7 linked regions of the Coturnix japonica genome follow. The protein of the gene in region 1 interacts with the protein of each later gene in a biochemical or structural test. Links are inferred from orthologs where the notes say so. Each region holds a gene or a part of one and is shown in the gene's direction. Other genes may lie near its edges.

Region 1 (4,037 bases):
ACAGAATCATTATGGTTGAAAAAGATGATCTAAGCTGACCATCAACCCATCACCACCACACCCACTAAGCTTTCAGTGCCACGTTTCTTCAACACCTGCAGGGACAGTGACTCCAGCACCTCCCTGAGCAGCCTGTGCCAACACCTCACCACTCTTTCAGAGAATAAACTTTTCTGAATATCCAATGTGAATCTCCCGTGGCTCGACTTGAGGCCGTTCCCTCTCTCACTTGGCACATGCCAAGTGCTCCTGAACTGCTGTAGTTTTCAGCCCAGCTGACAAGGAGTTGGAGCCATCCTGGATGGAGGGGAAACTGAGGTGTTCTCAATGGCTGCAGTGACACTGCTTCAGAGCAGCACACCCAGACTGGCTGATGACACCTCAAAGCTGCCAGGGTGACCTTTTTGGTCCACTTTCACAACTGAGTTGGGGACTCAGGCTACTCATCAGGCACCAGATTGCATCCTAGGAGGAGAGAGAGCACGGGAAAGACTGCAGAACTGGACTTCACGGGGCTTAAAACGTAGCAAACAAAGGACAAAGTTTAAAAATTTGCAAAAGGGTTCATGAAAATCATTTACCATCTTCATCCACCGAAGCAGCGAAGCAAGTTTGATTGCCCAACTGAAGTAGTCTAACTCTGTACCAACTATTTGTGTTAATCCGTTTATTTACGAGAAGCAACTGAGAAAAATAAACTTGTATTTTTTGCCAAAGCTTCTCTGCCGATAGCACTATTACTCTCCTCTATCCCACTGCTTTCATTCCCCTCGCTGCTACACAACGGAGAGGCAAAAGGTGGGAGGGGATGGAGGGGTTGACACCACTGCTCTCAGTGGATCCCTTCGGTGGTAAACGCGCTCAGCTCGAAGGGACGCTCATGAGTGCAAAGTCATAGGATAACGCACGCTTCTCCTCCGCACAAGCCGGGAGCCCCCGCCCCGCTCTCGGCGGCTTTCAGCCCAAGTCGAGCCTTCTGACGGCGACGGCGGGACGCGGAAGGTCCGCCGCTCACCCTGCGCTGCCCATCCAGCGGAGCTGGGAGTGCGGAGCTCGCGGAGCTCCCGGACCCTCCGACCGCACGCTCTCCCGCACGGAGTCGCGCTCCGCGGGCGGTGCCGCCAGGTGCGCCCGCCCAGGCACGGCCCCGGGGGGGCGGCCGCGGCACCTCGCCCCACCCCGCCGCGCCGGGAGCTCACCGCCCCCGGCTGAAGTCCGGTACCGCCGCTCCGTGCCGTGCCGGGGGTGCCGTCACTCGGCGCTTCCAGCATGCTCCTAAGATGGCGGTAGCGGCGGCGGGCGGCGGCGGCGGGGGCGGCCGGGCGCAGCGCAGCGGCTGGCTGGAAGTTTTGGTGCGGGAGCGCTGGCACAAAGTGCTGGCCAACTTGGGCGGCGAGGCGCTGGTGCTGAGCGGAGAGGAGCGCCCCGACGGCGCGGCCCACAACGGGCTGGGAAGCGATGGGGCGGCGTGCCGCGGAGCCGAGGGCGGCGGCGGGGGCTCGGCGGTGCGCACCGCCTTCACCGACCCCCCCGAGCAGGTGCCCGAAGCCGTCTCCAACAAGAAGCGCTGCGTGAAGGTGCTGAAGCAGGAGCTGGGCGGGTTGGGCATCAGCATCAAGGGAGGCAAGGAGAACAAGATGCCCATCCTCATCAGCAAGATCTTCAAGGGGCTGGCGGCCGACCAGACCCAGGCCCTCTACGTGGGCGATGCCATCCTGGCCGTCAACGGCACCGACCTGCGGGATGCCACCCACGACGAGGCGGTGCAGGCACTCAAGCGGGCCGGCAAGGAGGTGCTGCTGGAAGGTACGGGGCTGCCGGCGGAGGGGGGTGCGGGACCGCTCCGTGCGCCTCGCTCCGGTCGCCCTTTCGGTAGGGAACCCCGACGGCGCGGGGACGGAGCCTCACGGATGGCACCGCGCGGCTGTCGGGGCTCCGCAGAGCGGCCAGAGTCGGGGCTCTGCCGTCCGATGCGCGACCAAACTGCGGAGCCCCGACAGTCGGCGGCTGAACCGGGCCTTGGCGGGGGGAGTGGGCTCTGAGGAAGCTGTTGGTACCTCCTGACACAGAAACCATCCCCACAAATGTTTTGTGTCTGGGAATGACTGAGTTTGGTAAGAAGCAGCTTTAGAAACGGAGTCTGGAGCATGGTGTGTATATGTGTTGTATGGGAGTTGTCCATGAAACAACTGTTGGCAAGGGCTGAGCAGAGGCAGAATAACTCCCCAGGACACCATGCTCATAAGGAGGGAGGCAATCATGGACGTGCAGTCCTTGTGTTCTTCCCGGGATTTGTGTGGTTGCTGGACCTGAGAGAATGAACAGCTTGAGCAGTGCCCTTGGCATATGTTTGATAAAGTGATTGCACCTTAGCCCAGAAGTTCATTTAACCAGAGGTCATTGGCATTTTTAGTGTGCTACTGTGCCATCCCCATGCCTTCCTCCAAGCCCTGGGTGCCCCTACCTTGGTATCCCAGCAGCGCATTAGGTAACCTTCAAACACAGTTCTTCACATGTCTCTTTTATGTTCTAAGAAGCAGAGGAAGTGCTGCTGCCAGTTCAGGGATACACATGAGCATCAGCTGCAAACAACTGACTGTGGCACAAAGTTATGGGAAAAGCTTTAAGAAGTGGTTCTGTGCAGTAAAGGTGGGGGAGGTGAGAAAATTTAATCTGTGGTTTTGGCTGCTGAGAAACTGCTCAGTGCCATCCACACTGCAGTGAAACCTGTGCGGGGATTGCTGTGAGGCTTTAACAAGCTGAGGGCCACCACGTGCCCTGTGCTCCCATGACCAAACCATGTCTCCTCCCTGTTAACTGCATGCAAAGATTCCTGTGAAGTCCTAATGTAAACTCACTGAGGTCTGAATGGAGCGGTGATGTCGGAATTGTGCCACTGGTTTGTTTGCACAGTGCGGGGCTCCCGGGGTGCAGGCCAGCAGCAGCTGACCTGTGCTGTGATCTAATGAGGAGCGCACAGCACGCTGCCTGTGGAAACAGCACCTGACTGTGCTGCTGCTGCATAAGCCTGCTAAAAAACTCTGAGTTGTTCCTGGTAGGAGCACACTTGAAGCTGTTTGAGCAGGGACGACTCCTCTTTGCTCCATTGGCCTCTGCAGCTGTTTTCTTGCATTTCTTTGCTCCGTGGAGGTGTAGGCTGATGTGCTTCAGTGCTTGTTCCCGCAGTGGAATTTGTAAGTTGTAAACTGAGAGTCTCTTTCAGTAGTCCTCCCTTTAGATGTTTAAAATACTCCAGTGCTGAAAGCAGTATTTGTCTTGGTTTTCTTCTGCAGTTTTAGCAGAATATCTAAATACAGGATTGTCTCCGGCGTGTCCCCAGGAGGTGCTGCTCTGTGCAGCTAGGGTTGGACTCAGTGATCTGTAGGGGTCCCTTCCAATTTAGGATTCTGTGAACCTCTGCTTGAGTGGCTTGTGTAAGCCAAGGATTCAGTTTCCCACTTCAGAGACCTTTCTCCAGTAGCACAGCCTAAAATGGTCTTTTTACTATAAAGGGAAGGAATAGCCAGAAGATTTTTTCCCCTTTGAAGTACGGGAGGGAAGAGCGTTGCTTTTCCTCACCTCCCAGACAAGAGGAACGTGCTGCTTCCCGACTTCTTGGAAAGCTGTGCATTACAAGGAGCACCCTGAGCTGGGGTGAATCCCTGCACAGTTCCTCTCTGGGCTGTTGCTCTGGTTAGCAGGGCACTGCCATTGTGTATTACCAAAATATAACATGCATGTTTTCAAGGAGATTCAGAGGCTTGTGTCTCACAGAGCAGAAAAGCTGACTTGGGCTTAAAGAATTTGAAAAGGCACCATGAGGTGCTACACATGAGGGACAGATGTTAGGGTGTGAGGGGGAGATTGCAGTGTTACCCAAGGTGTTGTGATCTCCAGGAAAGGGTTTATGGGTTTTGTGCATGCTGAAGTGGTCAGCTCTGAGGCTGTGGCTCAGCGCACCCGACGTCATGGCTTTGCATCCTTCTAAAACTGCTTGCTCAGTGAAACGAGGTATTTACCAGCTCAGCACTAAACTG
Region 2 (3,500 bases), on another chromosome or scaffold:
ATCATGAGAAGCCTGGGATCTTATCTCTATTTGAAACTGACTCTGGATCTTTTCCAAAAAGGTCATTTAGTAATCAAAAGTGCAAGCTACAAGGTAGTTCCAGTGTCTCTGTCAGAACTGTACTTACTTCAGTGCAACATGAAGTTTATGACCAACTCTGCGTTTGAGCGAGCCCTGCCAATATTAAACGTGGCTCTGGCATCCTTACATCCCATGACAGATGAACAGATTTTCCAAGCTATTAATGCAGGTCAAATAAATGGAGAGCAGCAATGGGAAGACTTCAGCCAAAGGATGGAAGCTCTGTCGTGTTTTCTGATAAAAAGACGTGACAAAACACGGATGTTCTGCCACCCTTCCTTCAGAGAATGGCTGGTTTGGAGAGCGGATGGTGAAAATACAGACTTCTTATGTGAGCCAAGGTAAACGAAGCTTGCAAGAAGTCATTTTCAAATAACTGCAGTTATTTACATAATTGATCTCAGCTATTGCTGAGAGGACAGATGAATGTTAAAAAGCAAACATGACTAATATTTTCCGTGTTTACTGGAAAGTGTAGTTATAAATGCTGTTCTCTTTGAATTCTGTTCCTTTTACTAGGAATGGACATGCTTTATTGGCTTTCATGTTTTCTCGACAAGAGGGAAAACTAAACCGCCAACAGACTATGGAACTTGGGCATCACATACTCAAAGCTCACATTTTTAAGGTAAATCCATTAACATAATAGATTTCAGGATCTGTATGTATCAGTGTACCTTAGAGATGCTAATCTGAGTTGCTTTAATAATTTGTTGGAAGCTTGTACAAAATACTTGAAATTGTTACTGGCATTAGCAAAAAATTTATCTTCTTTTTGTACTGATGAAATATAGCTATAAATAGTCTTTTACACACTACAGAGAGATTTCCTGTTGTATCATTCCTGCTAGGGTCTCAGTAAAAGGACTGGAATTTCTTCCAGTCATCTTCAAGCCTTGTGGATTGGTTATAGTGCTGATGGACTGTCTGCAGCCCTCGCTTCCTTGAGGAACATCTATACACCCAATGTGAAGGTAAGAAAATGAGCACTCGTGTATAATCAGTGTTCCATCTGCCACTGTTGCTATTACTCTGTTAACGAATGTTGAAATTAATGTAACAGTTCAGAAGAAAACAAAAACACCGTGCATCTGTAACCAGTAACTGAAATCTCTTACAACAAGCCTGCAAGTACTTTTGTTGTTAACATTAACAACATGTTGTTAATGTCCCATTCAGTTTTCCTTGATAGTTTGGTGTAAAGAAAGATTTCACCTTGATTTTGTTGTAGCCACACTCTGTTACTTAGGATGCCTTTTCAGGAGGTCAGAGGTATGACCTGTTTTGCTGGGCAGGGTCTGTATGTTCTTGTATGGAGGAAGTATCAAGTGAATTGAATGAAAAGAAGAAGTACTGTGATAACAAGATGAAAAATGGCAGAGCTTCACTCTATGAGATGAATGCCCGAGGTTATGGATTGGGATTGATGCATTCCTATTTTAGCAAAACTGCTGTGCATTTTGATTGGAAGTTTGGTTGTCTACACATGTGCACACACTCACATTTTTATTTTTTTTAATGCAATCCAATTTGAATTAAAAATTATTTTATTTAAATTAAATTTTAGGTCAGTCGGCTGCTGATCTCGGCAGGTGCAAATGTGAATTATAAGACTGAAGTACTAAATAATGCTCCAGTACTGTGTGTTCAGTCACACCTTGGACATGAGGAAGTGGTGACTCTTCTACTAGAATTTGGAGCTGCTATTGATGGAACATCAGAAAATGGAATGACCCCACTATGTTATGCAGCAGCTGCGGGTCACATGAACATAGTTTCACTGCTGTGCAAAAAGGGAGCAAAGGTGAGCTGAGACACAAAGGCTGCAGTTGTCACAGCCAAAAGTCTTGCAGGGGCCTAAGAAAGATGCTGATTACATAACTATATGCTGATATAATTAACACAGAGAGTACAAAAAGAAAGTCCAGAACGTGTACACAGACTTTTCAACAGAACGTTTTCTCTCTGATCGTGTCCATGACTAATCTTACATGCATTCATAATTACTCCAAAGGACTACGCACCTACCATCAAAACCTTTGCATTTCTATTGCTTAGAAAGCCAAGTACAAAATGCAGAGGTCTGACCTTCTTCCAGCCTTTGCAGCGCAGCCAGTCGTCCCTCTCTGTGAACTGATGCCTGGTTCCTTCCCAGCTGGAAGGCTGTACGCTTTATTGCAGTCCCGGCCCAGACCTGTAGCCTGTTGAGGTCCATGAGAATGGCAGCACAATCATTTGACATATCAGCCACTCTTTCCAGTTTTTTGTCACCTACAAATGTGGTGAGTTTGCACTCTGTCCCATCATACGGGGGCACTGATGAACAGTCTCAGGCCCATTGTTCATCACAGGAGTACACTGCTAATGAGTTGTCTCCAGATGGACTTTGTGCTTGGGCTCATCTGTTCAGCCAGTTTTAGGTACACACCACTGAATGTTGTGTTATGTGTGTCCATCAGCTTGTCCGTGACAGTGTTATGGCAGACAGTGTCAGAAGCCGCACTAAAGGCAGCACAGACGACATGTGCAGTTCTGCCAAGCCAGTCACCTTGTCTTCTTGTGGAAGACCACCAGGCTGGTTAAGCATGATTTTCCCTTCCCCCTGTGACCTTTCACTAGACTTTTTAACTTTATTTTTTCCAATGCAGGCTGACTATCTAGACAAAAAAGGGCAGTGTGCTTTGGTCCACAGTGCACTGAGAGGGCATTGTGATATCCTTGAATATCTTCTGAATGTTGTTTGGATAGCTTCTTCCCAGGAACAAAATTCACTACGAAAAAGCCAAGCACTGCAGCAATCGCTGACGGCAGCTTCCAGTATGGGGCACTGTCAGGTAGGTTGATAACTGGAATATTTCCTGGTCTGCTGGAATTTATCACAATGGTACAACAGTACTTGCAGGTTTTGCTTTGTTTTGTTTTTAAAGGGTTTTTAAAGCAGAATTGTTGAAATTTCTGATATTTTAAGCATTCTGCATTCTTAGAAACTCTTTCCAGTGCTGTAATTAAATATCCTACACAATGAATTGCTTCAGAATTTTGTCTACATGTAATACTCTGTCTTTCTCATTGCTGTTCTTGAGGCTGTACTATGTCTCCAGTGGTAGTGATAATATTCACTGTTTCACAGGATGCATTTGAGGATTCTGAACTGCAGTTAACTTGAATTCATGATTAACTCAATCTAATAAAAAATCTTATTTGTTACCCACTGATGGAAGTGAAAGCAGCCAACTACTCAATTATGAGAAAAATTGATCTCATCTATTATAAAAAATTACCTTTATCCTAATTTTTGTTTTTCTCAGCTAGAAAAAATGTTTCATTAATTTTAAATAAATTACATTCTACTATTTCAAAGTTTAGTATTTTCCGTACATTCTGTGTAGCACTTCTCATGCATCCTGAAAAATTCCATG
Region 3 (3,942 bases), on another chromosome or scaffold:
TTTTGATACATCCTTTTAAGCCACAGGCTTCAAGATGCAGAGATTTAAGAACTGTGCCATGACAAAAGGAGCTCTGTTGTTTCTCTTACTCCATATAAATTTCTAGAGAAAGAAGAAAATTGCAACAGAAACCTGGTGAGCTGAGAGATGGTGGCACTGAAAGGAATGTCCTGGTGAAATATGTGATTCACGCCATGTCCTCTCTGAGAGCTGCCTACCTGGCCTTCTGAACTTGGGTTGTGTTGGGCCATCCTCCAAAGCTCTCTATGCCTGCGGTGCTCTTCCCAATATCTCAGGTGGGCTTTTGTCAAGGCTGCACTCAGATAGTTCAGATGATGAGGTGGTAAAGTGTATACTATAATACTGAGGACAGGTAAAGAAAAAACGATCTTAAAAGCATTGCTTTCAAAGGAAGTTTTGTTCAACAGAAGATGAATGAATGTCTTTCTTGATGGTTGGATGAAACTCTACCACTGAGGGCATGTTTCCTTGTGGGCTTTCTACAGTACATGGGTACTGTAGCTGGATTGTAACAACAGGGAACGAGTTTAGTTACTCTTTCGGACGTAACCCACAGTGTCAGAGCCGAAAAGAACTTTTTCCTCTGAAAACTGATGGCAGCCCTTCAGCCTTCTCCGATATTTACCACCTTCCATTTCCCTAAGGTTTAGCTGTGCCGTTCAGTGAAGTCCTCCGGCGCCGGGCACCCACGGCCGCCTTCCCCGGCATCCCGTGCTTAGGGAGCTGTCCAGCACCGCCGCGGGCTCGGAGGCGGCGCGGCCGGGCACGGTTGGGGCCATGCGGGGACACCCTCATAATGCGGGGACATCCCCATAGCGCGGGGACATCCCTATAGCGAGGGGGGGGAGAGCGCGGCGCCGGGGAGCGGGGCATTAAGGGGGCTGCTGCCGGGCCGCGGCGTGCGAGAGGCGGCGAGCGGGGAGGGGAGAGGAGGGAGGAGGAGGAGGAGGAGGAAAGGGCTCCAAACAACACGTGATTCCCGCGGAGCAGCGAGGGAGCCGGGGGAGGGGAGAGCGAGGGAGGGCGGCCGAGGCAGAGGAGGGCAGCCGCCGCCGCCGCCGCTTTAAAGCCTCCCGGCGAGGCGGCGCCGCGCAGCACCCGCGGCTCGGAGCGGCGCGGCGAAGCGCGGAGCCGGGAGCGGCCCCGGAGCGCATCCACCGCCGCCCCCCGCCGAGGGGCTCCGCGGCCATGCCAGGCGGCCGCCCCCGCGGCCCCGCGGCCCCGCGCTGCCCTCCGCTGCGCTGAGCCCCGCCGGCCCGCGGCACCATGTCCCGCCGCAAGATCTCCTCCGAGTCCTTCAGCTCGCTGGGCTCCGACTGCCCGGAGACCAGCCCCGAGGAGGAGGGCGAGTGTCCCCTGTCCCGCCTTTGCTGGAACGGCAGCCGCAGCCCTCCCGGCCCCGCCGAGCCACCTCTCACCGCCGCAGCCGCCGCCGCCGCCGCCGCGGCCAGCGCCGGGGCTCGCCGCGTTCCGCGCCGTCGGCGGGTCAACCTGGACTCGCTGGGCGAGAGCATCCGCCGCCTGACGGCCCCCGCGGTGAGTGCTCCGCGCCCGCCCGGCCTCCTCATGCGCGGTTCCCGACGGCTGTTCCAGGGCCGGCTCCTGAGTCCGAGCCCCGGAGCGATGTGCGGAGCTCCCCGGACCGGCCCGGTCCGCTCGGGATGCGGGATGCGGCGCAGGGCTCGGCAGCCGCGGCGGGAGGCGCACGCTGCCCCGCTCCGCACTCCAGCCGAGTTCTCGGCATTAGAATCCGGAGTCACAAAGTGCTTATTGCCATCTGGTGCTAGCAGCAATTCTGTATGAAAAGTTACACACGTCTGTATATGCATAGCATGCTCGTTCTTTACCGCAGAGGAGATGTTCTTGCGTTGGCAGGGTTTTCGTAGGGTTTTTCCTTGCTGAACGAGGTGAAAAGAAAGTTTGTGTGTTCTTCTCAGAAATACTGCAGCAACAGATTTCCCTGAGCCTCTCTGATGTGCCCACATTCCTGAAAGAGCCGTCTGAGGGCACTTTGGGGTCCGTGATTGATGGTTTTGTCTCCAGCTACACCTGTAGTGAAGCAGTGCATATGCCACAAAGAACAGAATTGGTGCTGAACGTGTGAGGCGTGCGGGCACTGCTGTGGGTGACTGCAGTCAGCAGCTCCGGAGCTGCGCTGGCTGCGTATGCAATAGGAGCTCGTTCTCCAGAGCTGTGTTACACTGCTGTCTCTGTGACCATCACTACATTTCCCTCATGAAGTTACAGCTGTAAGGGAACGCTTGTTGCTTGCTGAGATACCTTACTGTGCTCAGGTGTAGAACGTAGACTGCAACAAGTAGCCTAATCCGCACGGCAGTCACATCTGCTGAATTTGGTGGCATTGCAGTGTCTTTTTGGCTTTTTCTTATTCGGCTTTGGAGATGACTTCTGAATCTCATCACCATCTGCTGTCGGTGTGCTTTGCTTTTCATTCCTCTTTTCTGTTTCCTTGCTCGAACAGGCTGGATCCGAGCAGCCAGGCTGCCTAATGGGGGAAGTTAGCGGTGCGTGACCGAGCCGGCAGCCGTCCGCTTACAGCCAAGACTTCTCTTTCCCATTGATTTTTTATCTCCCCACTGGGAACCCAGGCTTGTCATGCTGAAATTAATAGATGGTATCTCAGGTGACTTGCCTTGTTTTAGTACCAAAAAATGAAGCTATTTAATTTGTTAATGATGCTGGGGTATAATTAGAGCATGTGTTACCCGAAATATTGGAAATATTCTGAAGTAGCTCAGTGCAGTATTTTTAGATAACCTTACTGTTTGTATTATCCCTTTGGCTGATACCTCCTGAAGCAATAAAAGACGGTTACGGCTTTACAGCTTTCATTCATTGTTGAACATGTTTGAAAAAATAAACAGATTCTGTGAACTGAGAGATGAGAAAACTTGGGTCGGTCTCGGAGTCCTCCTTCCTTCCTGCTCCTGGGGAAACTGAAGCTAAGAGTGCAAAAATTTCATCCCACCTCACTTCCATGTCCCAAGAAACAGTTTCCATTGGTTTCCTTTGGAGATAATTATCCCAATCCTTACTGCTGTAACGATCTTTATTTTCATTAATTTCAATATGTGATTCATATGATATAGAATATTCCCAAACTCCTTTTATTATCTTGGCACTGTAACTGCAGTTTCATTCTGTCTTACACATTTTGGCACCAGTCATTGGCATTTACGTTGGGAAAGTCACATTGGTGCCATCCTGGTATGAGAAAGGAATCGGTTTCTCATCTTTTCGTTCTTGACTCCGACACATCACTCTTCAAGTGCCTTGTTGTTCTGGTGCCTTCTTTAATATTTTCGAGAGTCTTTTCTGTGATGCTGAATATATGCTTTCTTGCAACAAGTCCAGTTACCATCTGTCTGACACTCGGAATCTGATCGTTTTCTCACATCTGTTGATCTAAATCAGGAATAACTTCAGATAGAAGTTAAAAAATGACACTGGCCATACAATTAGTGCTGAATTAGAGTCGTTCCCATTATTTTTAAAATTTAAAGGCAAATTGGAAGGGTGCACTTACAACTGTTCTTTCTGAGCTCTAATACTTTGATGCAGATGTAGGTATGTCTTCATTCTGTAAATCCATAAAGATTTCTGTTAAGTATGGAAGCACTGATGTATGTAGAGTGTGTGTGAATATATATAAAATAGATCTTGCCAGCAGAGGCTCAGTGTGTGCATTTTAGCCTTAATACGGCAGCAATCTGTTCACATCCCAGTGCTGAACACTTTCAAAGTTGAAGGACGCTACAGGTTCCTGATGCCAATACTTAGTTTTGTTCTTTCCTTTGGTAACAGCTGGGATTGAGATGCTGAGTCAAAATTTCTCACTGTATCTCCATGTTCTGTGTGTGTCTAGTGCTGCAGAGATGCATGCAGAGAGCTCAGGGGTGA
Region 4 (3,500 bases), on another chromosome or scaffold:
ACATGTTTTATTAGTTCATGTCATTTTTAACACCTGTTGGTGATGATGCAATTCATTGCAGTATCCCACTGATGCTGGGGAGAAGGGGACAGGAATGGAGTGCTGCAGTGACAGGGACAGGCTGGAAGATGGCTGGTCAATAAGACATGCTTAAGTCCTCTGGAAAAGCCTTGTGGGCCTCGGTGGTGTGATGGGTAACTTGCTAGACACTGGGTGGGGATGGGTGTACATGCATTACTCGCTGTGATGGAACTTGAGAAATCCCTCTGAGGAGGTGGTACTTCGTTTTTGCTTTCAGTTGAGCAAGGCTGTAACTCCCCTAATGCTGCTCTCTGAACTGCACATTCTACTGGAGAGCATCACTATTTTTTTCCCTCCTTGTCCGATGTTACTGAGTACAGATTTGGCAGTGAGACTAGAGACTTCCTTGCATAACCAGGCTGGAGGCAGAACCAAGCCCTACCTTTCCATCTCCCACCTTTGTAGCAATTGAAGATCCAGAATTTGCTTCTACCGTGCTCTTTAGAGCCTTGAAACAGATTGGCTGGAAGAGAAGCACTAGCTCTGGAGAATGGGAGTGCTGGTGCTAGTCAGAGTCAGCTCCTTCCGCTCCGACCTTTGCATGCTAAGCTGAGAGCGCTGAAACCGCTGCTGCAGCAGCTTCCATCTGTGGCCCAGTGCTTTTCACAGACAGCTGCAACGTCCTGGCAACACACTGAGCTCTGAGGAAAAGGTCAAGAGACCCGTTAAAGCTCTTTCCAAAATGAGAGGGAAGTTTTGAGCAGGACAGATAGGACGATTTTCCTAGTTCTCCTCCGCTCCAACTTTCTCAGCCAGGCTCCACTAAATGTGCCTGCCCTGCTTTGACGTGCCTGATTGTTTTTCTTCTTTAGTGCTTAGTTTCCATTTGCCACAAATTCTGTGGGCCTGCTGCTGCTTGTGCGGAACTGTTACAGCTGCAGCACGAGGAGTGCCAGCACCAGTGGAGCAAATAGCATGGGGCAGTGAGTAGGGATGGCCTTGCTAGGGCAGGAGCTCATCCGTGGAGCGATCTCACATGTGATTCTGAGGGTGTTTTCGTCAGGCTAAGTTGTGAAAATAAGCATAGACTGCCTTAAGGAAGAGCTTTGCTTTGAACTAGAGAGGCCCAGATGCTCCCAGTGGGTCTCAGGGACTGGACCCAACACCATAGCACCCAGCTCTCAGCTCAGCTGTTCTGCCTGCTTTGCAGACGTGGGGCCATCGCCAGCCCCACAGATCTGTGGGCAGCCTATTTAACTCCTGCTTTCTGTGTCAACAGCCAGCGCCCCACCGCCAGGCACAATGGAAACGTTTTTTAAGAGGCACTTTGGGAAGAAGGGGCTGCCAGGCCCACGTCGTGCCAGTGTGCTGGCAGTGCCCACGGGCAAGGCCCGCCGCCGCTCCCAGGCTGGGCTGCCCTCCGCTTCACTGGCCCAGCGCCGTCGTGGCTCGGGGGCCCCGCTGCCAGCCCTGTCCTGTTTGCCCCTGCCCCGCCGCCGTGGTCCCCGCCGTCGCTCCAGCACCACACCGCCGTGCCTCAGCCCCCGCTTTGCCGTGCAGCAGCGCGGGGGCTGCCCGCCAGCCATCAGTGCCACACTGCTGGGGCCCTCCGTGCTGCTGGCCGGCCTCCTCCCCACCGGGCAGGAGGGTGCCGGGGATGCCTCCAGCTCCTGGTCTGCAGAGGATGGCGATGGCAGGTTGGATCGGGGCAGGTGGTGGGCCGAGGAGAGCTGGCTGAGCGTATTGCCACGGCTGCGGCCGCTGCAGGTCAGGCTGCTGACACGGGGCCCTCGCTGCCTGCGCCGCACATCCTCCCACTGCCTGCCCACTGACGTTGGCTGCAGCCGGGCTCCCCATGGCCTGCCGGGCCGCTACCGTCGCCTCAGCCAGCGCCGCCGCTCCAGCAATGTCCTCTGGCCTGGACTGCTGGCCACCACTCACACGCAGTGGCTGGCCCAGCAGTGCACAGGGGCTGCCCTCCCCGAGTGCTTGGGACCAGAATCAGCCTGCTGCCCCGACGGCTGGAGCCCCAGGCTGCTGTATGTATGGCGGTGCGCAGGAGGCAATGCTTTGGGAAGGGGGGATGTGGTGGGCAGGGAGGGATGGGCAGGGCTATGTGTACCAGGGAAGGCTTCTTCAGGCTCCACAACATTCTGGGGAAGCACCCCGGGGCTTTTACCTGACAGCCCGGTGGGCTTTGACACGCCATTCTTCCTCTCCTGATCTAACAGCTGGCCTTCCCATGTTTTCCAGGAAAGCTATTGCCAAGTCCAGCCTCCAGCACATGGTAGCCCAGCCAAACCCTGCACTAGCGCTGAGGAACGAGTCAGAGAGGCAGATACGCAGCACTGTGGACTGGAGCGTAAGTGGTGGTGTGTGTTGCTGGGCGTTGTGTGGGACAGGCTCCTGGCCAGGATGCAGCGGGCTTCCAAAGTGACTTCGGCTTTGACACTTCTATGGCCTTCACTGTGCCACCATAACTTGTCCCTGGCACAAAGCAGTTTGGGACAGGGTGATCATTTGAGGATGCTCAGAGGAGCACGTTGTCTTGTGTCTTTCAGGAGACTGCAGTCTATGGGGAGCACATCTGGTTTGAGACCAATGTCTCTGGGGATTTCTGCTATGTCGGGGAGCAGAACTGCATGGCCAAGCTGCTGGTAAGTCGCCTGGGGTCAGCCGCATCCCCTGCGTGCTCCTCAGCTGCGTGCTGTGCTGCCACCCAGCGGAGAGACCCAGAAGGCCCTGGTGCTGGGAGAACTGGGGGGCTGGCAAGACGTGTTCCTCCGTCTCTGTGTGCTGCAGCGCTGCATGCCCAGTGTCTGCCAGTGCTGCCATTCAGTTTGCAGCAGGTGCCCAGTGCAGGGCTGCATGCAGCTGCAGGTCACTGCAGGGAGAGGTTGTTGGGATCACACATGCTTAGCGGAAGAATCTGAATTCAGCTTCTCTGGAAAAAACTTACAACAGAGGGGAAGAATGAGTGGAGATCCAGGTCTGCTGTCTCCTGTCCCTGCATGCTGTACTGGAGCCCCAACAGGCCTTGCAGCAGCATAGCTGCACTTCTCTCTCCCTGCTTGCAGACTCAATCCTGCTCATGGTGCTGGATGTGCAGCACTGATGCTACCGTGTGCCTGCCCCCTAGCCTCATAGTGCCTCTGGATGAGCCAAAGCTCTGGGCCAGACCACGAACATGCTTCCCAAACAATGTCCTATGTTGTTCTCTGGCAGTGTCAGAAGAGCCAAGGACTGCTTTGTCAGTGGGAGAGCACTTCCCTGTTGTGCTGCAGACTCAGGAGCATCTGCTCTAGGCACATACTTAGATCCTGTAACTGGCGAGGTGTCTAGATTGTATGAAACTCCTGTACTTGATTTTTACATCCTGAAATGTATGAAGGAAGTGTGAGAAGTGGTTGAGTTTCTGGCCTCCTTACCCTGCTGTTCACATGCATGTTTTTCCTCCCATTTTCTCATCCTCCAGCAAA
Region 5 (4,140 bases), on another chromosome or scaffold:
TGAAGTGGTAGTTCCCATGCTGCTCCTTGTTGCGCACCACTGCTTCCTCCCAAAAGGCTCTGACACTGAAAGCTGTCCTTCAAGCCACTTGTGGGATCATTTCCTACTCTGCTTCAATCCAAAGGGAATGAGCTGAGACCTCCTGTTTCAGGTGTCTGGGGTGAATATCTCCAAGGCTAAATAGGGTTTGAGAGCACACATTTGAGCAACTTTGCTGGCAGACTTTGGACTGGGACAGTAAGCAAAGCAACTGGAAGAGGACAACTATGCAAGGCCCTCAGTGCAACGAGAGCAGGCAAGGTCTGAAGTTACTAGTCTAGTTCCTTTATAAGCTGGTTTTCCATGTCCTCCTTCAGGTCTATGCTTTAAAAAGCTTATAGCACTGCTTACAAGCTGTATGTACCTCCTCCCTGGTGCAGGGATCTGTGAGCTCTGGTGACACTCACCTACACAGCCACTGCCTGCTGCAACTCCAGCCCCACATGGGGAGCAATAGGGCTATTACACCTCTTTGGTAGTCCATGTATACAGCTAAAGTGAAGAGCACTAGCAATAAATGACAGTGAAGTGCAGGTGGCCAACAGAGGGGAGATTACAAACAGGATTGTCCAAAGCAATTTGGGATGTAAACGACTGTAAGTGTAGGTGGTGAGGTTTGCTGGGAGACTCTCCAGCTACTGAACTGTAGTACATAGCAGGATTCCTGACCTACTGCCAGCTATCACAGCACAGCTGAGGCTGGCAGGGCCCTCTGGGTCCCTCTGCTCCAGCCCCTGCCCCAGCAGGGACACCCAGAGCAGGGTGCCTAGGGCTGCATTCACGCAGATCTGGAAGATCCCCAAGGAGGAGATCCCACATCACTGGGCAGCCTGTGCCAGTGCTCTGTCACTGCACAGCACAGAGGTATTTCCTGATGTTTATGAAATGAAACACAGCACCTAGAGATACATCTGGTCCTCCCGTGTGTGTTGACAGAACAGAAGAATAAACAGTTACATCTGCCGTGTGTATAGAACCCTATTTCACAACTGCAGTAAACTAGGAGCACTCATCTGTGCCATCTGTGTTTGGATGTGGTGCTCAGGGACATGATTTAGTGGAGGGTTGTTAGAGTTAGGGTAGTATGGTCAGGTTGTGTTTGGACTTGATGATCTTAAGGTCTCTTCCAACCTGAGCAATTCTATGATTCTATGATCCTGTGATCACTGTTGCAGTAAGGCGTTCACTGCAGCTTCTTGTTATGGCCTAAAATAGCAACGTATTTACTCCCTATCAGCGGTCAAAAAAAAAAAAAGCAGTCCCTTGGCTCCACAAACTCATCCTTGAATTGCTTGTGCTGAATATGGTTACTCATTAACCCCTAGAAGCATGCTTATGGTTTCACTCATTTCTGCACGAGAAGCCTGGGAAATAATGCTTCGTAATTCCACAGACTCCAATTACAGTGATCCATGTGAATGACATACGGGAACCTATCCTAAGAAATCAAGCAATGCCAGTTACTGAGAGTGCAGATATTTAAGTGCGGCCCAAACACAGGAATCCAGACAGTTTCCAGATGCTACATTAGCTGCAGGGCCCTTTTTGTTGGGCCAAAGCGCATGCGACACTGCCGTGCGATTGCTAGCAGCCCTCCTTGAGCTGAGAACATTTCTCTCTTAAGAAAACGTAAGATCTACTAATCAGGACCTACTTCCTTTTCTTACTACTGTTTGCTCTTGTGTGGCTTCTGCGTAAACAGCATTCGGGTTTTGCTTCAAGTTTTTGTGCTTCTGATTTCCAGCAACAAAACTGAAAGTGGTAAGCAACAGTGGGCAGAAGAAGGAGACCGAGCACACCAGAAGGCACACCAGCTGAGGTAAGACAAGGCTTGCCTGCTTTTTCTGACATAGATAGAATAGCTGCAGTGAAGAAAATACAATCTGCTTATATATTGCTTGCGGTAAGCTTTGCATATGATAGAAGCTGTGATCGTTAACTAAATTTCTCTATGACAAAGTTGGGCTTGAGAATTTTCTTTGGCAGAAAGGGTGGATTTATGTAACTTGCAGTGCTTCCAGATGGAAGATGACAGTCAAGTAGTGGGTCTGATTAAGTGAGTGCTGGCTTTTAACGAGATGACAAAAATATGTGGTCAATGGCAAACTTAAAATTAAAGAGGCTAGGAGTTAGAGTCTGAATTTATTTATCTGTAATATTGTGCATGCAGCGAGGTTAATAAAGCACTGCATGTTTTGGTGGATGTAATTCACTGTTAATTCCAAATACTGCATTCTGCTACATTTATTCTTGGTAACGCTACTCCTTAAAACACAACACGAAGACAGCAGAAGGAAAGCTAATGGGAACTTTGAGACATGTCAAAACTTTTGGTTTTCTCGAGATACAGAGGCAGATGCAAGCAATCCCAAACATAGCAGCAATGCCATGACTGCCTTAATATTATGAGTATGGGATTGTTGTGGCAGAAGCCTTCTTCTGACAGAGGACTGTTGTGATAGATGCACGGAGCACCTCCTTTTCCTGACATACAAACGGATCAATATATTTAATCTCTTAGGGCAAAAAAGACATGTATTTTGAATGAACATTCTGATACCTTTATTTATCACTGCATGTGCAGAACACCTCACCGAAAATATGTTCTCTGTGTTATAGAGATCTCAGGGTTTCAAAGTAGCGGATGTGAGAAACTTCTCAGTCTGGAAATGGAGAGTTTCCCTTTTACACTTTTAGCAGCAGCCTCTTCCAGCTCACCTCCCCCAGTGAGAGGAGATGACACAGAAAACAGCCCTCTTCTATCTGCCTGACCATAGACTCCCAACAGCCCTGATGAGCACCCCATGTGGGAACACATCAGTAGTGGTACATTCACACTATCCACCTCCTTCAGGAACCTGTAAAGCTTGACTGCATGTCTATCCTGTCTATGCTGAATTTACCCATACTTTTGAGTCCTTGCTCCGTCACCTTGCTGATTTCACTCACCCCTCTCTGCCTCTTCCCTAACTCTATAATGTCTTTTTTTGGGGGGTGCAGAGAGCAGAACTGCATGGCACATTCACTGGGGGAATGCAGGAAGGTTTTATACAAGGTGATTTTATACCAGCTGACCCAGACTTCTTGGTGATGTGACTCATTTTCTTGAAATTCTTGTTGCTTCCGCTGCAGCTTATGCAGAAATGACTTTGGCAAACAGTCGATGATGGGTCTATCACTGATGCCAAATGCCCTTTCCTCACAGTAACAGTTTCAAGTTCTGTATCATGTAAGCATGGTTTAGGTTATTTGCTCCAGCATTTATCACCTTCTACTAAAATGCTCATCTGCCAGCTTTCCAGCATGGCATCAATGAATGTCAGTGGGTGTAATTTTTTCCTCATGGAAGAGCTCTGTGACACTCCTTTGCTTCAAACACACGTCCTTGTCAGACACCATTTTGTCAGATTGTCCCTCTGATGCCATCTGCCAACAAAATGTAACAGGATGTTGTTGGGTAGGTTCCACATCTACTGCCATACCATTGCCTTCTGACTCTAATGTCATGGGCCAAAACAGTAAAACAGGAGGCATTACTTTTGGAGCAGCTCTCATATATATGGAAATCGGTCTTGGGGGTCAGTAGGCTCCCAGGCATCAGGACTGCTGACTCACAGCCCCCAGGCTTCTCTCCCACGCTGTTCTTGTAGATGAAGAGCTGCCCTAGTGATGCAGTGGTCCCCTGGAATGGCACATGATTATAATGGTGGGTTATGTGCCTTGGACAGCAGTCCAAGTCTGAGAGCCTTTGGGGTACTCATACAAATGTCATCTGGTCCTGATTACTTATTGGCCTCTCATCTGTCTATTCAGTTTGATATTTCCTACACATGTATGTCCAGTGCATCCAGCTCCTCCAACCTTACAGAAGTTTTGTTGAATCCTCTGTGATTTGGTTGTTGCTGTTGTGTGGTTTTGGTTTTGTGTGGTTTCTTTTGATTGTTTGTTTGTTGTTTTTACTGTTTTCCTATTCCCTCTAAAATGATGTCGATTTCTTGGTCCTGGGACTGCTCCTCTCTCCCACAACACTGACACTGTGAGTCCTATCATGATTGCTGGTACAGTGCTCCCTCCCTCCCTCCTGCCAGAACTGGGGCCTGT
Region 6 (2,563 bases), on another chromosome or scaffold:
TGAGACCACTGGAAAGCTCCAGCAATCAATTTACCCTACTATTAAAGATACTTAAAATCTTCATCTCTGAATATTATCAGGGTGATGCTTAATTATTCTATCTGCTCTTCTACTACCCCTAGTGTAGCTTTCACAGAGCCTGAAAAGGGAAGACAAGGAGGCATGCCTGCAGCTTTTCCTAGACAGCCTCTAGCTGACTCCATCATGCTATCATCCACGCTATCAGAATCAAAGGTGCCAAGTCAAAATCAAGACTCTTGTGACATTCCCAAAGTAAATCAGGCTTGTGGGACAACAGTTAGTTTACGGCCATATGACATGATAGGTGGAAGCCTCAGGATGCCGCACAACAGGAAAGTGCTGAGACGCAGTAGCAGCATCATTGGAGGATCTGCAGGCATTGAGATGCTGTTTGAAAGTAAGGCAGCCACAGCCAGCTTGAAAAGCATGGATACTACCCAAAGGGAAGAATCCAGATCCGAGAGAAAGGTGGAACTCTCTCCGGGCAAAAAGCTGTCAAAAAGTTTCTCCCAGAGCTGTGTATATGTCAGCACTGATAGGAAGGACAGTAAGAGGTGTTCGGGCACAGGCACCAGTCAGAAGGACTCCAAGCAGTGTCGAGCGTTGCCATTGCGGAAGCTGGACACCAGTACCTGGAGGTGTCGTGGTCCCTTTAGCTACTGCTTCCTGAGCAGAGGAAATGATGACAATGATGATGAAGATGATGGAGACGAAAGCCATCAGCTCTCATGTCTCTTCAAACCGGAGATCCCGTGTGAGCTCGCAGAACCAGCCAGTCAGTCTTTTTCCAGTGAAAATGAACAGAAGGACTTGGAGTCCCCGGAAGCTGATGAGTTCCCACAGGATGAGGCAGTTAATGAACACAAGAAGAGCAGTGCTGACACCCAAGGTGGCCAAATTGATGTGAATCTCAATGATGTGGCCTTCGATGCACGAATCGCGCGAATAAATGTGATGAAAGAGAAGATGTATGAAATGCCTGATGGATTTATTGCAGCACAAAAGGATGCCAATGAGTTACTCTCACTGGTCCGAGCAAGTATGGGCAAGAGAGAAGATTTACATCCCGAAACATATGACCTTAAACTTTCTAAGTACAAACAACTGTTATCTATGGAATCTAGACAGTTGGGAAGTGCCTGCAGGAAAATGGCCATGGCTGATAAAAGCCCTGAGGAAATGCTTTTAGCTATGACTTCCAGCTTTCAAGTACTCTGTTGCTTAACAGAAGCCTGCATGCGTTTAGTTAAAGTCATGAACTCTGAAACTCAGCAGCAGGAAATTATAGCTAAGATAGACGAGGTTGTAATAAACTACATTTGTCTTCTGAAGGCTGCAGAAGCCGTGTCAGGCAAGACCTCCAGTGATCCTAGCATTAAACTCTTGGCTCGACATTCAACTACCATGGCCGCTATTGTAAGCACACTAACACGTTCTCTTAAAATGCTTTTAAACAAATAAAATACAAAAGTCACTTCATAATCTACCTTTGCAAAGCCATACATTAAAAAAAACAACAACTAAAAACCTTTTATTTACTTTATGTGTATGAACTAATGTAACAAATCCAGCTTTCTCTGTATATTTTGTTATTTTATATAAAATAGGTAAGCAGTTAAAAATATGATAAAACACTGAACACTGACAACAGTGCTGACCAGATCTGTCCTTCCGTTTATACAAAAAGAAAAGCCAAAAAATCCCCTCTCCCCACAACCAGGAAAACAAACAGAAAAAAATCCTGTAGAGGAGCAAATTGACTTTTGGCTATTTTTCATATAGTCAAATCTATGGTTGTATGAAGTGAACTTTTAAAGTCTGTTATGTCAATTAAGTTGTTTTCTGTTTCATCCAAGTTTTCACTTGGAGAATGCTCCGTGTTTAGAAATGAAAAATGAGATCATAATGTATATAACACAATATTTAATGTTTTAAAATTATAATTTTTAAGCATTGAAAATAGCGAAGAGACATTTAAAATCCAAGAGACTATTATAAGTTACTAGAGAATATATATATAATAAATGACTCTTTTGTTCATATTGCCTGAATTACCTGATTCTTCTTTTCTAGAAAGTTCTATATTTAAAAAATAATATATAAAAAAAATAGAAGGTATTGAATATACCGAGTTTAGAGGGTATCTATCTGATGTATTGAACATTACAGTGTTGCATTTCAGACAGTGAACGTACCTGCAGAAGACAGACTGAGGTCATAGGAACCAGAATGGTGATGGTCCCTGAAAGGAGAATTTGATGCCATACTGATCAGATCAGAATGTATAGGGTGGATGTGCCCTGGTAAATGAGAGACACGACCGTCAGGAAATTCCTGTGCTGTTTACTGTTTCATCATAAATCTATGGTGCATCTGAACAACATGAACTGCATCTATTTTGTTAAATATTTTATACTTCATATTTTATGATTCTGAATGTTTAACTGTAAATAAGTTAGAAATAAAATGAAGTTTTCAGAATACAATAAATATCTATGAAATATTTCAAGCCAGAAACAGTCCTTCTCTGAGTGATGACAAA
Region 7 (4,049 bases), on another chromosome or scaffold:
ATTATGATGTTTGAGTGGATCAGTTTATGTTAAAAGCTTCTTTATTTTTCATGTGCATATGATGTAAAACAAAATATGACCCTTTAAGTATGAGGAAAGGAGGAAAATGCAGAATGGTTGTGGGTTGTTCCTGAAATGTTTTGGTGCGACATGAGGACATTGCTCATGGCAGAGAAGGTATCTTTCAGACATAAAAGGGAAGGGTATCTCAGTGGACTTCAGTGAGTTTCTGCTGCAGTGTGGTTGCCTGTGTATGCTACTTTTACTTAATGTGGTGTTGTATTTATTTTACAGAAAGTTTATAGGCAGCAACCCAATAGCAACATATTCTTCCTTGTAGACCGAACAGAAACACTGTCTCAATGCAAAAGTAAGTTTGCTGCACCAAAGGTAATAGTTCAACTGTTTAAAAGCTGTCTCTGTAGCTGTTGAAGATTTCCAAGTTGTAGTACAGTGGGAAAGCTGGCAACTGCATGTTAAATACCAAGTGGACTTCAGTTGTGCCTGCTTTTCTGGGCTGAATGAATGTGGTTCCCACTTGATTTGCATGTGTGGTAAAACAGCATGTGCTGAAGATACAGGAGGGAGTCCTTCCACAGAGGAGTCGCTTTTCTTAGTGCCCTTTGGGAAGCTCTGTGTGCTCAGTTCTCCTCCTTCTGTTTTTTAATTATTAACCCTTAGGAAACTGAAAGTGAAGCTAGACATCTTTAGGCAGCTGAGAGAATGAATTTGTGGGATTAACAAGATAGGGAAATGGAAGATTAAGACATATGTTAATTGAAGAAGGGTGTTAGAAATAAATGTGAAAGTATACAATTTCTTTCTGGAATGAAAAGTTGCCCATATCTTTTTTGATTGGAGTTTAATGTGTTGACACATTGTCTATTCATTTTTCTTACTAAAAGTGTGTAAATTGTGCTGATGATGTAGGCAATAATTGGCTTTTCATTTACATTATTAAACTTGCAGTATGAATTTCCTCAAGGGGGAAAAGAACTTAATCTATGGATAAGTAATGATAATTAGATTGTGGTGAGGTATGTTTGTATTAGATCAATACTGTAGCATGTGCGTTTCCTAGTTTTCCTGTCTTTAAATCATCAAGTAATTAATGACACTCAATTCTTAGATCTAAACTCACTTAGACATTTCTCTTGTTTTTTTTTTTAATAATGCAGATACATTAGATCAATTAAAGAAAGCACAGCAAGAGTTGGAAAATTCGGAGAAGAATAAAGTCAAGAAATAGTCCATCTTGAATTTCCAGTCACCATGTGTGGTATTTGTTGTGTTGTTGCTCTATCTGGCCAGAGTACTGTTTATGATCACTTCAATGAGGATCTGCACTGCCTTCTTAGAAGAAGAGGACCAGACAGCAGCCAACAGTTGATAAAGACTGTGTGTGAGCCATCCTATGAGTGTCTTTTCTCTGGCCACGTACTTCATCTGAGGGGACAGATGACTCCTCAGCCTCTGGAAGATGTCAATAACAATGTTTTTCTTTGGAATGGAGAAGTTTTTAATGGAGTACATGTAGGAGATTCAGAGAATGACACTGAGGTTATGTTTCATCATCTTGGACTGTGCAGTAGTGAAGCTGATATTTTATCGCTCTTCTCATCGCTCCGGGGTCCGTGGTCTTTTATTTATTACCAGGCATCTGGACACAGCTTATGGTTTGGTAGAGATTATTTTGGTCGTCGTAGTTTGCTTTGGCAGTTTAGTAATGTGAATGATAACGTTTTCTGTCTTTCATCTGTGAGTGTGAATTCAGAATCTTGTAACCAATGCCAAGAAGTCCCAGCATCTGGAATCTTCAAAATGGATCTCAAAGACTGTGCAACAACTCAATCCTTGTCTTTAACGTTGTTTCCATGGAAGTACAATTGCACAGAGAAAACTGAAGAAGAAATATTCATTGATGTTCTGGGTCAGATTTCTAAAGACTTACCAAATCACATCACTGTTAGGATGAATGAGTCCAAGATGTGTCTCAGTGCACCAGTAACCCCCTTAAACAGAACCATTTCTGAAGCCTCAGTTGAACATGCAAGCACTGATAGCAGTGATTCTAGCTGCACGGTTTCCATACAAACTCTAGAGGGATATCTTGCAGAGGAACGCAAGAAAATACTGGTCCATCAGTTCATTGATGTTTTAGATGAAGCAGTGAGGAAACGAGTTTTATTACTCTTCAGAGGTGAAGATCAGGGAACAAGAGAAGTTGAGGGTGTTTGTCCCAGGAAGGCTCGTGTTGCGGTGCTCTTTTCTGGTGGGGTTGACTCTATGGTTATTGCAGCCCTTGCTGATCGACACGTTCCTTTGGAGGAACCAATTGATCTTCTCAATGTAGCTTTCATGACCAAAGAACCAACTAAGCGAACAGGTGCCACTAAAAGCTGTGTCAGCCAAGAAATGCAGCTGAATTTGCATCATGGTCAAGAAAACCATAAAGATCTCAATGCTGAAATTGGTGATGATTTATCTCGCTTTGATGTTCCTGACAGAATTACTGGTAGGGCGGGGCTGAAAGAACTGGAAGCCCTTAACCCTTCAAGAACATGGAACTTTGTGGAAATTAATGTCACACTAAAGGAATTGAAAGAAATGAGACAGCAATTCATTCATAACTTAATTTATCCTCTGGATACGGTTTTGGATGATAGCATTGGTTGTGCTATCTGGTTTGCTTCCAGAGGACAGGGGTTTATTAATAAGAAAGGAGAAATGAAGCCATATAAAAGTCCTGCAAAGGTATTGATTGTTTCTTAAACTGTTTCATATTTTCATTCTTACACTTAATTTGTGAATGTGAAAACAGCTGTTTGGGAAATTAGAAGGGTTCCTTAATATTCACAAGCTTTCTGAAATTCTTTGGCAGAACACAATACAGATAAACTGTGTAATTCCGGAATTTAAACCTGCATTTAGTTCCTTATGTGAATGGATTTTCAGTGAGCTTGAATAAGCTGTAGTGACTAGGAAAAAAGTCAGTGCCTATCATTCTCAGTGTCTAAACTCAGTAGTGGGCAAGTGCTATTAATCCAATTGAACAAAACAATGAACTTTGTGTATTCTTCAGGCACACCATTTGTGTGGCAAAGTAGCTATTAATAATGACAAAAGGTGACTGCTTGCAATCTTTGTAATTACAGGCTGATTGAATGACTGTTCAATCCACAAAGAGTAATTCTTTCCTTCTTGTATGTTGTTTTCATGTGTGTAGCTCTAAGATCTGGTATGTATTACGAGCTTCCCTAGATATTAAGAAAGGTATCTCTGTTCTTTTTCTCTTAGGTTGTGCTTACAGGCATTGGAGCAGACGAGCAGCTTGCTGGCTATTCCCGACACCGTGTTTGCTTCAAGAAATGTGGCCCAGAAGGTCTGAATAAGGAACTTGAAATGGAGTTAGGTCGTATTTCTTCTAGAAATCTTGGTAGAGACGACCGGATTATTGGTGATCATGGGAAAGAAGCCAGGTAATACTAACATGAATCAAAACTGGTTTTTACTGGTTAAGTTCTGCTTCAAACAGTCTGAGAAAAAAGCTTTATTTGAATCTTGTTAGCACATTTTTGTGTCTGAATTCTGTTCTGTGGGTGTTAATCTGTAGTACCACGGCAAAGATACTTATGGAAATGTAGCAACATGAACATTGGATTTCTATCTGGATATTTTAAGAAGCAGCAACAGATGTTGGAGAAAGCACAATCAAGTGGGTTTTACTGTTTTAAGTGCAGTGGCCTTCTCAGCCTTGTGGTGTTCTGTTGTGGTAACCTGGGGACTGACTTTGGAGATGGAGAGTTTCTTAACGCTGCCTTGGAGAGGCTGTGATGCACTAGCAGAAATGCTGTGTATTCCTGCCCATGCAATCAAAGCATGATCAATATCCCGTGTATTTCCAGGTCTTTAGACTACTTTAAGAATTGGGTTTTTGACTTTACTTCTTCCATACTACTGCTCACCGACTTGCAAAACTGCAGTATGTTTTACCTACCCTCTCAGACAATAAAACTGCTTTGGAAAGTTCCCTCAGTAGCATGCAGCTA

What was found.
Region 2: the proteins of SNTB1 (region 1) and TANC1 interact in a test that uses a peptide from one of them, tested with the Homo sapiens proteins (2 studies listed by IntAct, with this or other methods). The link is inferred for Coturnix japonica from reciprocal best matches to the Homo sapiens genes SNTB1 and TANC1.
Region 3: the proteins of SNTB1 (region 1) and GUCY1A2 interact in a test that uses a peptide from one of them, tested with the Homo sapiens proteins (2 studies listed by IntAct, with this or other methods). The link is inferred for Coturnix japonica from reciprocal best matches to the Homo sapiens genes SNTB1 and GUCY1A2.
Region 4: the proteins of SNTB1 (region 1) and DGKZ form a complex in vitro, tested with the Homo sapiens proteins (2 studies listed by BioGRID and IntAct, with this or other methods). The link is inferred for Coturnix japonica from reciprocal best matches to the Homo sapiens genes SNTB1 and DGKZ.
Region 5: the proteins of SNTB1 (region 1) and CYSLTR2 interact in a test that uses a peptide from one of them, tested with the Homo sapiens proteins (2 studies listed by IntAct, with this or other methods). The link is inferred for Coturnix japonica from reciprocal best matches to the Homo sapiens genes SNTB1 and CYSLTR2.
Region 6: the proteins of SNTB1 (region 1) and FRMPD4 interact in a test that uses a peptide from one of them, tested with the Homo sapiens proteins (2 studies listed by IntAct, with this or other methods). The link is inferred for Coturnix japonica from reciprocal best matches to the Homo sapiens genes SNTB1 and FRMPD4.
Region 7: the proteins of SNTB1 (region 1) and ASNSD1 interact in a test that uses a peptide from one of them, tested with the Homo sapiens proteins (2 studies listed by IntAct, with this or other methods). The link is inferred for Coturnix japonica from reciprocal best matches to the Homo sapiens genes SNTB1 and ASNSD1.

Annotation. Positions count from the first base shown.
Region 1 is NC_029517.1:123,525,465-123,529,501, reverse strand, and holds the start of SNTB1 (beta-1-syntrophin), read left to right. Parts: upstream 1-1,237; 5' UTR 1,238-1,280; coding exon 1,281-1,806; intron 1,807-4,037. UniProt on the Homo sapiens protein: Adapter protein that binds to and probably organizes the subcellular localization of a variety of membrane proteins. May link various receptors to the actin cytoskeleton and the dystrophin glycoprotein complex.
Region 2 is NC_029522.1:33,283,658-33,287,157, forward strand, and holds part of TANC1 (protein TANC1), read left to right. Parts: coding exon 1-422; intron 423-600; coding exon 601-709; intron 710-932; coding exon 933-1,055; intron 1,056-1,648; coding exon 1,649-1,885; intron 1,886-2,729; coding exon 2,730-2,915; intron 2,916-3,500. UniProt on the Homo sapiens protein: May be a scaffold component in the postsynaptic density.
Region 3 is NC_029516.1:161,689,562-161,693,503, forward strand, and holds the start of GUCY1A2 (guanylate cyclase soluble subunit alpha-2), read left to right. Parts: upstream 1-1,142; 5' UTR 1,143-1,287; coding exon 1,288-1,557; intron 1,558-3,942. UniProt on the Homo sapiens protein: Has guanylyl cyclase on binding to the beta-1 subunit. Isoform 2 acts as a negative regulator of guanylyl cyclase activity as it forms non-functional heterodimers with the beta subunits.
Region 4 is NC_029520.1:21,144,165-21,147,664, reverse strand, and holds part of DGKZ (diacylglycerol kinase zeta), read left to right. Parts: 5' UTR 1-1,323; coding exon 1,324-2,060; intron 2,061-2,274; coding exon 2,275-2,383; intron 2,384-2,582; coding exon 2,583-2,678; intron 2,679-3,496; coding exon 3,497-3,500. UniProt on the Homo sapiens protein: Diacylglycerol kinase that converts diacylglycerol/DAG into phosphatidic acid/phosphatidate/PA and regulates the respective levels of these two bioactive lipids.
Region 5 is NC_029516.1:151,145,293-151,149,432, forward strand, and holds the start of CYSLTR2 (cysteinyl leukotriene receptor 2), read left to right. Parts: upstream 1-1,340; 5' UTR 1,341-1,668; intron 1,669-1,783; 5' UTR 1,784-1,858; intron 1,859-4,140. UniProt on the Homo sapiens protein: Receptor for cysteinyl leukotrienes. The response is mediated via a G-protein that activates a phosphatidylinositol-calcium second messenger system.
Region 6 is NC_029516.1:111,273,979-111,276,541, reverse strand, and holds the end of FRMPD4 (FERM and PDZ domain-containing protein 4), read left to right. Parts: intron 1-122; coding exon of another isoform or gene 123-127; coding exon 128-1,482; 3' UTR 1,483-2,063; downstream 2,064-2,563. UniProt on the Homo sapiens protein: Positive regulator of dendritic spine morphogenesis and density. Required for the maintenance of excitatory synaptic transmission. Binds phosphatidylinositol 4,5-bisphosphate.
Region 7 is NC_029522.1:4,419,386-4,423,434, reverse strand, and holds the start of ASNSD1 (asparagine synthetase domain-containing protein 1), read left to right. Parts: upstream 1-1,249; 5' UTR 1,250-1,272; coding exon 1,273-2,754; intron 2,755-3,297; coding exon 3,298-3,479; intron 3,480-4,049. Other genes in the region: ASDURF (ASNSD1 upstream open reading frame protein), read left to right, coding at 295-370, 1,179-1,249.